Linked DNA regions of Lonchura striata. The protein of the gene in region 1 interacts with the protein of each later gene in a pairwise test. Links are inferred from orthologs where the notes say so. Each region holds a gene or a part of one and is shown in the gene's direction. Other genes may lie near its edges.

Region 1 (3,746 bases):
AGGTGATCCTTCACAGCCCCCTTTCTCTGGGGTGAGTGGCTAGAGCAGCTTGTCCTCCCCATGTCAGTGGCTCCCTATCACCCCTCACCATGTGGCTGGCTCGTGGCAGGGAGTGGAGCAGTGTCTCATGGGGGGTCTCTGAGACAATGTCCAAGAGGGACAGTCCAGGATGAAAGGACAAGGCTAAATCCTGCTCCAAACCTGGTCAGGAGTGAGAAAAGGCTGGGACTGAGGGAGGGCAGGTGGTCTGCGGGGAGCACAGCACAGGGCTGGCATCAAACCCTCCTTTCCCAAGGGACAGCCACTCCTGCATCCCCAAACCCTGGTGGGACACAGGTCAGCCTGCCATCGGCATGTGGATGTGAGCCATCAGCACGGGGCACCCGCTGCCACCACCAAGGATGCCAAGTGCAGCTTTGTCATGGGAAATATCCGGTACTGCCAGTTCATAACTGTGAACAAGTCATGAGTGACTTGTGTCACCCAAACCAGCCATTACTGTGAGGGCTGTGTGTGCAATACAGGGAGGCAGATACAAATCACACCCTAAAAATGCAGGCATTTCTGTTGCCTTTCTGACACCAGGGCTTTTGTAGAGGTCTTGGCATGTAAGGCTGTTTTCTCCAATGCCTCTGGGTTAGGAAAAGGTTGTTTTTCATGTGATATCTGTGTCCCTGGGACAGATGAGCCTGGGGTGCCAGCTGGCATTGCTGCCAGTGGATGCTTGGGAGCGGTGGGGATGCGGCAGAGTGTGAGGGCATAGTTTGGGTAGGCGGGTCCTCGGTGTGTAGGTAATCAGCACCACTGTCCCCATGGTCCCCCAGGGTCACCGTGATGAGTGATGCCAGGAGGGGTGCACAGGTGGGATGCAGTTACACTGGGACTCCCTGAGGAGCACCGGGTATGGGGTGGGAATGGCAGAGACACACGGGGAGTACCGGGGACACACCGGGAGCCCCCAGCACTATAGCAAGGGAGGGTCAGGGGAGCACGGTGGGGGCGGGCCGCCCTGGGAAGGGCACGGGGAACACCGGGGCTCCCCTGTGCTTCCAGGGTTCCGGCCAGAGGGGCCGGGGTGCCCCGGGGAAGCACCGGGAGCCCTCCGGAGCCCCGCGCCCCCGCAGCCGCCGCCGCTGCCCGATGCGGGAAGGGGAGCCCCGCCTCCGCCGCCCGTCGGGGGTTTCACGAGTTTCCGTGGCAACGAGTGCGGGGCGGGGCTCGGCGCTTCCGTTACCGAAGTGCCGGGCAGGCGGGGACGGGCCGGGGCTGGTGCCGTGTGTCCCGCTGCTGCCGCCGCCCCGCGCCCGGTGAGTGGCCCCGCGGGGCGGCACCGGCGGCACCGGGGAGCCGGGCTGCACCGGGCAGGACCGGGGCTCCCTCCCTTTGTCTGCGGGCTGGGAGCGCTGGCACGGAGCGCCCGCGGCGCGGCGAGAGCGCGGCTCCCCGTTAGCCCGCGGCGGGCGGCGCCACCGGGAGCGGGAGCGGGAGCGGGGCTGCGCCTGCTGCTCGCTGGCACCGGCGCCGGGACCGCCCCGCTGCGGGTCGGGAGCAAAGGAACCCCGCGGTGTGCTGGGCGGCTCCGTGTCCCGTTCCCCGCCGAAGCGGCCCCGGTGAGGTGCGGCGAGCGCGGAGCGGTGTGCGCGGAGCGGAGCGGGCGGTGCCGAGCGGAGCGGTGCAGTGCAGGGCATTGTGTGCGCTGGGATGCGGTGGGTGCGGTGCGCAGGGCTGCCCGTGGTCCCGGAGTTCCTAACTCCCTAAAGGCAGCCCCAGCCCGAGGTTAGGAGGGGCCTGGAGAGGCTTCAGGAATGAGTAAATTAATTACAGACACCGTTTATGTCACATCCGCTGGGAGCACGGAGGGAGCCCGGGGCTGTCGCCTTTTCGGGAGCAAAAAACGGGATTGATGCAACTTCCTGCGGGTTTCGGGAGTCGGAGCCGGTGTTACCGTCGTGTTTTGCTCCAGAACGTCCCACTGGGATTTACAGCTGGGCACTGAGACCGGCTGAGATGTCCGTCCTTGCGCTTCTCCGCAGAGGTGCCGCTGTTCTCGGGACCCCCGTGCCATGATCACGTCCCGCACCGCCTGGCATCTGGGATCCGGGCCCTCCGCCGGAGCCGCCTGGAAGACCAAGGACCTTGCCCCGGACGGTGAGTACAGCACGGTGCCTTGTCCTTGCCCCTTGGGGCTCAGCCTGCTGCACTCACACCCTGCTCACTGGGGAAGGAGAGGCTGAGAACAGGCCAGCCTGCATTTTTCACATTTCTTTCCGGATGAAGGTCAAGATTTGAGAAACGGGGACTCAGAAGCAGGCACAAAGCTCTGGGCAGCGTGCTGGTGAGAAGAGAGGGCTGCCTCCCTCTCTCTCCTGGCCCTTCCGAGCGGGAAACTTAGGGAGAAAGGTTAAAATTTAACATGTGAGGTAGAAAATAGTGATCTGCATGGCAGGTTGAATGTGGGCCCTTTGCCTCTTCCCAGCCTCAGCTCCTTGGAAGGGCTCCTTATCCCTCTCTGGCGCATGGACCCCATGGGTGAGTATAGTCGAGTTTTGCTCTGTGGAGGCTGAGCTGCCTTGCAGGCAGGCGGGCAGCTGCTTGTCCCAACCTGCAACCGCTTGTTGGGAAACAGCCCTTCCCACCTCCCTCACCGATGGTGCTGAATGGGTTTTGGCAAAGGTGGAGGCTGAAACCCCAGTATTTGAACTTCTTTTGCTTTTGGCTTCAGCATTTGCCATCCCCCTGTGCTGGCAGCCACTTCTCTGGACGCAGCTTCTTCTCTGGCACTTGGGCCAGTCCAGCCAAATGCCAGCTGGCACCAAAGCCTCCAAAGTCAGGGTTTTCAGCTCTTTCTCTGCCCAACGGCTGCTGCTGCCCATACAGGGATGGGAAGCTCATCACCTGTTATCCGGGCATTTGCTGGCACTTTGGAAATGCTCAATTTTCATGGCGTGTGCAAAATGTTATGGATAATTAGAGGCTGGGAAGAAGTCCAGAGTGATGGACTAACTTCATAAGGGCACTTCTCCCTCCAGACATCAGTTCCACCTCCAGCCCAACTTCCTCCAGGTGGCTTTAGAGGAAAAAGGCTGCATTTTTGAGGTTTGATTTGTGAGCAATTGATTTTCTCTCTGTTAGCTGGAGAAGAGATTTGGCCACCCGCAGTGGTGGCAGCACTTGTGGCAGATAGGTGCGGGGGGCACAGGGTCCCCAAGCAGTGGGATGTAGCCCTTGCCAGCTGCTTTTCCTGTAGCAGAGCAGGACACAACCATGGGAGAAAGCTCCTTGAGTTGCTGTTTCCTTCTGTGTGGCTCAGCAGGACAGGGAAGTGCTGCCCTGGCTGCTTTTGGGTTTGGCTGCCTGACAAATGAAGGAAATATTTGGGGTCAGTGGAGGGAGGTGACACCGTCAGGGTCTGACTGTCTGGTTTTGGTGATGCAAGCTGGCTTTGGCAGCTTTTCCGAGATGGGATCGCAGGAAGTGGAGCAGCTTGGCAAGGGGTAGAGCTGGGATATCCCTGGTGGGGGACAGATCTGGTCCTGCAGAGGCCAGTCGGAAGCTACACCCTGAATTCTCATTACTAGTCATTGGTAACCAGTCTCCACCCCCCAGAGGGCTAATTTTTCTAATTAACATAATTAACATTTTTAATAAAAGTCATGCATTGTGTCTGCCACACCGGTGTGGTGGCGGCAGCAGGGAGGAGGAGGAGGTGGGTTTGCTGAGCTGGCCGAAGGCTGTGTCTGTGCTGG
Region 2 (3,746 bases), on another chromosome or scaffold:
CCGGGCGAGGCGGGGGCTGTCCCCGCGTGTCCGAGGCCCGTTACCTGCCTGCCTTCCTCGCCTGGCAGATTGTTATCTGGATAATTGGAAGTGCGGCGGAGGTTGAGCTCCGCCAGCCAGCCCAGGGGCTCTGCAGCCGCGCCTCGTCCACCTTGTTATCAGGGATTGTCTGGGCAGGGGAAATGAGAGGGAGTCACGACCGAGGGACTTCTACTGCTCGCCCGGAGAGTAGCGGGGGGAAAAGGGGGGGTGTGATTAAACAGAAAACGAGAAAAGCCCTAACAGATGAACAGAAAGTTTATTTTTGTTGTTGTTTGAACATCCGTGTGTGCGCGCCCGCTGTTTTGGCATGTGGCTACCTTTTCCCTTGCACACAACAGGGCTATTTGATGGAGTTTGGAGCTGAGGAAACTTTGGGTTTGTTGCCGGGACGGTTCGCAGCACTTTGTGGAAAGCAAGAGCTAACAGTGAGACCGACAGAGTGAGTGACAAGTTGTTTACAGGTTTCCTTGAAGGGGCCTCTGCTATATTTCAATCTGTCAAAGTTGCTTTTCTTCCTTCAGAACAATGCCTGATTGTTGTGCGGGTGATTTTTTTTTTTTTCCCCTACCCAAAGAGAGAGAGAAAGAGGGTAAGCGAGAGACCGGGAAGGGTGGGGGAAAAGGAATGAAAATTCTTTGGAGCACAAATGCCTTTGGTAACATTTTTATGTGTTTAATCTCTTCTCCTCTATTTCAACTCCGAGAGTTGATAACTGTCTCAATTTAATCAGTCTGCTCTTGTTTTATCTTCTTTCTCCACTGATCTTCCTCAGCGTAGGGGATTTGCTCCTGGTTTGCCGGTTTAGGTGGATTGTCGGACTGCTTTTTCTTTTTCCCCTCCTCTCCCCCGCCCCCCCCCGTCCCCCCCCCCCCCCCCCCCCTTATCCCCTCCACCCCTCCACGTTTTTTGTTTTTTTTAGGACATTGAAGGAGTTGACTTTTCCCGTTTGGCGGCGGCGGGCGAGCAGAATTAAAAGAAAAGGACAGGCCCCCGGAGGTCGCGCAGCGCGGCGGGGGGAGCTGCGCGCTCATCGTGCTGCGAGCGCGCTGCCCCTTTAAGAGACTGGTCAAGGAGTCCTCGCTCAGAGCGAGCGAGCCGGGAGGGAGGGAGAGGGAGGGAGGGAGAGAGAGAGAGCGAGCGAGAGAGAAAATCAATCGGTTTAGAAGGTTTGGACTCACTTGACAGGTTCAGTTGGAGGCGACCATAGGTGGCTGCTGTGACAAAGGGAAATTGTGCTTTTCCAGCATGCTAACTGACCCTGATTTACCTCAGGAGTTTGAAAGGTGAGTCGAGTTGTTGGGGCGGGGGTGTATGTATGTGTGTGGGGGTGTCTCTTCCCCGTGTTTTCTTTCCCGTTCTGTTTCGTGCTTTGTTATTGCATTATTATTTCCATTTTTTTTTTTTTTTTTAATTTATCCGAGCACGCCCGTTGGCGCACGTGTGCGCGGATGGGCAGCGGGCACACGGACACGCGGGGACGGGCGCGCAACTCGGGCGCTCGGCGGCAGGAGGCCGGGCAGAGAGGCGCTCCCCCCGCGCCCATCCGCGTCCCTCCGCGCTCCCTCGCCGCCCCGGCGCCGTGTCACTGACCGGGGTGGCGGGCGCCGCCGAGCCCCCGGCCCCGGGCGGAGCGCCCGCGGCGCGCAGCTTTGTTCCGGGGCCGCAGAGGCTGCCGTGCCCTCCTGCCGCACACCCTCCGCTAGCCCAGCCGGGCGGCCGAGCCACCTTCCTGGGCACAACCTCCCCTCTCCTGCCCGGGGACTTCCCGCAGAGCGGTCGGAGGATGCCCGGTGGCGGCCAGGCTCCCGGGCATCTTCTAACTTCCAGCCTCAGGCTCCCGTCAAACTTGGGAAGGCGCTCTGCCGAGCACATGACCTTTTGTTGATCTAGCAGGAGCTATTATTTTTAGGCAAGTTAACATCCCAGCCCTCCGTCAGGAGAACATCTTTCTGCGTGAGGAGAGAGAGGTGGGAAAAATAACCCAAAGGGAAAAAGAAAGGGAAAAAGTGAAACTCTTGCCTCCAAGTTTTGGCCGTCGCCTCTCTCGCGGAGTGTCAAGAGCCGGGTCTGGGTATGACGAGCGGGCTTCGGGTATGACGTAGATGTGCCCGTCTCCCCCTGCCCGAAGCAGCAGCCTTCCCTGCTTGGAATCAAGTTTTTGCTGTCATTGCTGGTGGCTTGTGACCTCCGAGAGTTCAGTCCTTATTTCATATGATCTGCTTCTCCTGAGATGTTTGGAAGCGTTTTCTCAGGTGCTTGTACGTCCGTGCGTTCATGGTCCTGCATCCCTCCCCTCCGGCTTCTCTTTTAAAGGTTAATAGCCCCATGTGCGGCTGCAGTAAACAGTCCAAACTTTCATTTCTAAGCAGTAAACGAAAGAATGCCAGGATGCGTGTTACTGAGGTTTTTCTTGTCTTCGTGAGGTTTTTCTTGTCTTCTCCTGTATAAACATTTGGTTGTATCTGACTATGCAATACAAGCTAGGTGCTAGACCAGCTGGTTAAAAATATGCTAAGTCAAGCTGTTCATCGTTCAAACCTACTGAATTTGATAGTAAAGGCATAGAAAAGAAGGCAAGATAAAAACATTTAAGTGGGCTGAGGAACATACATGCAAAGGAAGGACAGGAAAGAACACTTGAATTAAAAGATCGGAGAAAATTAAAATTTGGAAATGCAGAAAAGAACTATTTTAACACTTGCAATCCTTGTTCTGAAACTAGAATGCTTCCTTACTAGAAAGTGAAATTGGCTAGGTTGCTCTACTCCAAGGTCATCTTTAATGCAATTAATTTTTCAGACTTGGAATACTTGGCATTTTCCTTCGGTTTCTTAGCATTACAATAATAGGACAAAATTGGTTTTGTTCACGTGTACTGTATTAACTTAGTTCAACTACCTGAGGAAACTGTTACTGTTTCTGATGTCAAATTTGATCTGGCATCATGCTCATGCATTTGTTGTTTTCATGCAATCGATAGATTCAAGTATTTCATGTGCCTCACTAAGTTTACACATAGAAATTTATAAGCGAGTGATTTTGATTATTCTCTGAACTTTGTGATGAACACAGTGCTTGTAAACTCTCTGAAGCAGAAAGAAGCCCTTTCATTTTCCTGCTGGGGACTTTTTTCTTAGCTGAAGTCTCTCTGCATTATAAATATAGATATTTGTATAAATTTTATATATAAACAAGTCATTTGGGGCAACCATCATCCTTAGAATGAGCTTCTCTACTCCCTTCTTTTTTCTTTTTTTTTTTTTTGCCCCTAGGCATAGGTTTCATTTTCAGAGATCCAGCTTTGCTCTTGTAAACATTCTAGTTAAATAATCAATACACTGCTCTCCTTTTGCCATGCAGATAACAGCAAGCAGTAGAAATGGGAAGCAATAAAAAACGAACCTCAGGACGTGCAATTTTTTTGAAATTTTTTTTTGAACAATTTTTTTTCTGCAGTTGAAATTGGGGATAGAGACCAGTATCTTTGTTAATCATTACCATTTGTTTACCTTGCGTGTGTTTGACTATAGTCACACACACACACACACATTCGGAGACCCAGGCAGTGTCCATGTAACGTGTGTGTGTTTGTCAGGGAACAGCCACGAGGACATACTTCCTTCTGCACAGACAGGGATCCTCAGACCCACAAATGCCTGTGGAGCTGGCGTGTGTGCGTGTGTGCACGATGCACAGATCATTGT
Region 3 (3,746 bases), on another chromosome or scaffold:
GAATGACATCTCAGTCCTTTTGAGAGCCTAACTCAGAAATCAGTGTAGCTGCTATAAAAAATTCTGCTGTGAGCTGTTGCAGCATTTCCAATTCTGATGTGTGCATAAACACATCTGATGATATTCACTAAATTTGATCCAAATGTATTGGCATTTGAATTCATAATTTTCAGTAAAAAATTAACTTGGCAGAGGAACTTTACAAAACTTTAAGGAAAATACTGCATGAGAAAAGCAAAGGTACGCTCAATATCAAGTTAGTTCTCCATGGTTCTGGATTAAGCAGCTGCACTTCTTTCTATTAATTATGTTTCTAGTCAGCTCTTGGACCTTAAAATGTTCATCAAAGGTCACTTTCACAGTCCACAGCCACAGTTCTTCAGAAATTCAAATTGGATATTTCATCCAATCTCCTCCTGAAAAGTGTCTGCACTGGGTAGAACTCTTAAATTCCCATATGATGGCAGGCCAAGCACAAATAGCCCATATAAAATATTTTCTCTTCTGAGGACATTTTCTGTTTTCCTGTGCGGGATCCTGGAGCTCAAATAAAGAAGGATACTCCCTGGGGAGTTGCCATAGTAACCTGTGATGTGGTTTTGTTGTCTAAGATTACATATAAGCAAGGGAGCAATTACAGAGAAGAATTTTATACCTGAGTTTATAATTTTCATATAACACCAAAGCTGAACTATACCTTCAAGTTCCTAAAGCAGCAGCAGTCTCCTTGAGGGTGATGTCAACTTAGTAATTTTCACTGAAAGAGAATTTAAATGCTGTATTTATTATTCAAGAATCCTGATTACAAAAAAAAAAAAAAAAAAAAAAAAAAAAAAAAAAAAAAAAAATCCATTTCTGGAAGATGTAGCAAATAAGAAAGACTTCATTAGAAATGTAAAGATGTGGAAGTGGAAATGGCTGCTACAAATAATATCTAAACCTGCATGTGCGAATGTCTTCTATATTCTATTTTCTTCTTACTTGGATTCAGCTATAATCTGCTCTTAAACTTATAGTCAAAGAAAAACTTCATGTTGTCCTTGGAAAATAACTTCAAATCCCACAGCACATGCAAGGACGAGATTTTTGAATGTATCTATATCAGTTCAGCAACAAACAGAATTTGAAGTTTCAGAATAAAAGCAAAATTTGTTTTAAGAGGGTGTGATGGAGAAAGAATCCGTCCAAACTATTCTCAGTTACGAGCATCAAAGGGAGATCGGGAAGTCTGGGTTCAGGAAAGGGCATGGGAGCCGAGCTAGCAGAAAGGTCATTTCCATGAGAAGCAGCCCAGAAGAGCAACGCTGGGAGAAGCCCAAGCCAGTCTTGTGAGAACAGCGTGAAGTGAGCTGTGCAAGGAGGGCGTGCAGGAGCTCCCATCCCCTGGAGGCTCCTGGGGCAGGTGGCTCCCATCAGTGCCCGGTGCCCGGCCGGGGAGGCGCTGGACACGCCGGCAGCAGCGGGAGCTCAGCGCGGCTGCGGCGCTCGGCCCCGCGGAGAGGGAGCGCCGCGCCCACAGGTGAGCGTGTGCGGCTCCTAGTGCCCCGCTCCCAAATGCCCAGCCTGCCTTGGCGTGGCGGGGCTGCCCCGCAGCTGGCTGCCTTGCTCATCCGCCCAGCTGCCCAGCATTTCCTGGGATTATTCAGAGATGGGGGGAAAAAATATATATGGGAGGCACTGAGATCTTGAAGGGTCCCTAAAGCTTGGGTCGATGTCTCCCTGGCAGTGCAAAAGAGCTGACAGAGCCACTGTCAATTTAATTGTCCCCCAGATAATGTCGTATATATTATACATTTCTGTTTATCCTGAAAATGTGCAATCTAAACACTTTCTCTGTAAGTGACTTTAAGAACTGTAGCTGTTTGTCCATGATAGGCATGTGGGTCCAGGCTTCTGATGCTGGATGTGTTCTGCATCTTCCCTGGTTAATTAGAGGTCTGTTCCCTCTGTGGCTGACTTGCCCTCTGCCCCTTCACCCCTCACCAGGCCCAAATTTTTTAGGGCTTTTGGGGGAAAAAATGGGACTGGGCACCTCAGTGGAATGGGATGTGTTGGAAAGGCTGCAGGGGAAGGGTGTAAGGGAGGGAGCAATGCATGGCTCTGGACATAGTGTAAGTGGGAAACAAAAGTCCAAAACAGAGTTTTTGGGAAATACCTTTTTAGCAGAAGAATGATGTTATGAAAACACAAGTCTGACATGAGATAAAGCAGCAGATGATATGGAAGACAGCCCTGAAATTCAGACAGTAAACAGATTGCAATAAAATCAAACGTAAATGCACAGAGACCTATATTGCAATAACCCTCTCCTAAATGAAGGAATTTTGGATTTTAAATGACACAGTAATTTTATGAGTGGTTGGACAAATTTGGGAAGGGGGTACAGGATGCATCTCTGGATGTTTGCTCTAACAAGTATCTTGGAGGAGCCTGGACATGCAGTGCTGTTTGATGAAATGACAGGGAAAAGGGAGAGCAACAGGAAAGGGCAACAATAGGACAGGAGGTGCACACTGGGATGACAGAGCTGGAGGCTATAAGGGGCTCATGTGTGGTGGTCACCCTCTGCTTAATGCTTGGGGTAGAAACATGAGGGCAAGATTCACGAAGGTAAAACTTTCATCACAGACAGAAAGGCAGAACTGGGCTTTCCAAGGGACAGCAGGGAATCTGCAGGACCTCAGCAGGAGGAGAGGAATACACCTGAGTGAAATCTGACAAGTAGCTTTATTTTTTTTTTCACCTAGAAAAAGGAACATTTGTGCTATTAGAAACTCTGTGCAGAAACCCTGAAAGTTCCAGCAATTTGGTTATAAAAAATAGTTCAACCTCAGATCAAATAACTTCATCATGAAAATCACATAAATTTAATATTTTTTTTTTAATTTAGATGCAGAAAACAAGCTTTTCTTTAGCACAAAACAATAATTTTTGATTGTCTGGTTGGTTGTTGTTTTTTTTTTCCCCCCACATAAAAGACTGAAATCCTTAATTTGCCCCAGTTCACTCATGGTTAAAAGATAGTTTAAACTGCAATATTTTGGGTAGAGGAAAGGAGGGGAAAGTATTCAACAGTTAAGTCTGAGGTTTCTGTGTCTGAAATGAGAAGCATTAGAGGTTTGGCCCTACAATATGGATTTTAGAGATGAGTTTTCTGATGATGTGAAAAAGAGGCAGATGGACTGTAGGAAAAAGATAAGCAATCACCATTGCAGGGCTAGAAAGCAAGAAAAATAACAGAACTATCAAAGAATATAAAGAGTAAGAGTGACAGGAAAAATGAGAATGAAAGGTGGAGAATTATCTATGGGTTGTGACAGTTTTTGGACCATGGTGAAGGGAGCTTGTAAAAAACCAAGCGAAGAACAACAAATCTCTGATGTCCCAAAGCTTTGGTTTGTGCATATTGTGGAATTTAAGATCAAAAAGCAAAACTGTCACTGCATTTTTGTGGCATCCTGTTAGCACAGGCTACTCAGCATTAGCAATAAAAAACTCTCAAGGCCAGATTTTTTCTATGAACCTTTAAAAATGCTTTATTTTAAAAAGGTTTTTTGAGCCTCATAACAATTTTTAATGTGTTTGTGCATCAGTCATTTGGGAGCAGGCTATTCTGAGGCAGAAAATAGTCTTGCATTTTGCTCCCTTACAGGTCTGTAAAAATGAGGTAGAGAGATAAAGGGGAAGTGCATGCTTTAATAAGAAAGACTTTAGTACTGCCATTGTGCTGCTTTATCTACCAATGC

Evidence for each region.
Region 2: the proteins of KIFC3 (region 1) and SOX5 interact in binary tests that used the Homo sapiens proteins (3 or more experiments, as listed by UniProt). The two-hybrid records come from large-scale screens. The link is inferred for Lonchura striata from reciprocal best matches to the Homo sapiens genes KIFC3 and SOX5.
Region 3: the proteins of KIFC3 (region 1) and CBY2 interact in binary tests that used the Homo sapiens proteins (3 or more experiments, as listed by UniProt). The two-hybrid records come from large-scale screens. The link is inferred for Lonchura striata from reciprocal best matches to the Homo sapiens genes KIFC3 and CBY2.

What each region holds. Positions count from the first base shown.
Region 1 is NC_134615.1:17,417,067-17,420,812, reverse strand, and holds the start of KIFC3 (kinesin-like protein KIFC3), read left to right. Parts: upstream 1-1,257; 5' UTR 1,258-1,307; intron 1,308-2,033; 5' UTR 2,034-2,063; coding exon 2,064-2,148; intron 2,149-3,746. UniProt on the Homo sapiens protein: Minus-end microtubule-dependent motor protein. Involved in apically targeted transport. Required for zonula adherens maintenance.
Region 2 is NC_134607.1:14,598,017-14,601,762, reverse strand, and holds the start of SOX5 (transcription factor SOX-5), read left to right. Parts: upstream 1-1,143; 5' UTR 1,144-1,287; coding exon 1,288-1,325; intron 1,326-3,746.
Region 3 is NC_134604.1:61,121,223-61,124,968, forward strand, and holds the start of CBY2 (protein chibby homolog 2), read left to right. Parts: upstream 1-1,167; coding exon 1,168-1,328; intron 1,329-1,402; coding exon 1,403-1,519; intron 1,520-3,746.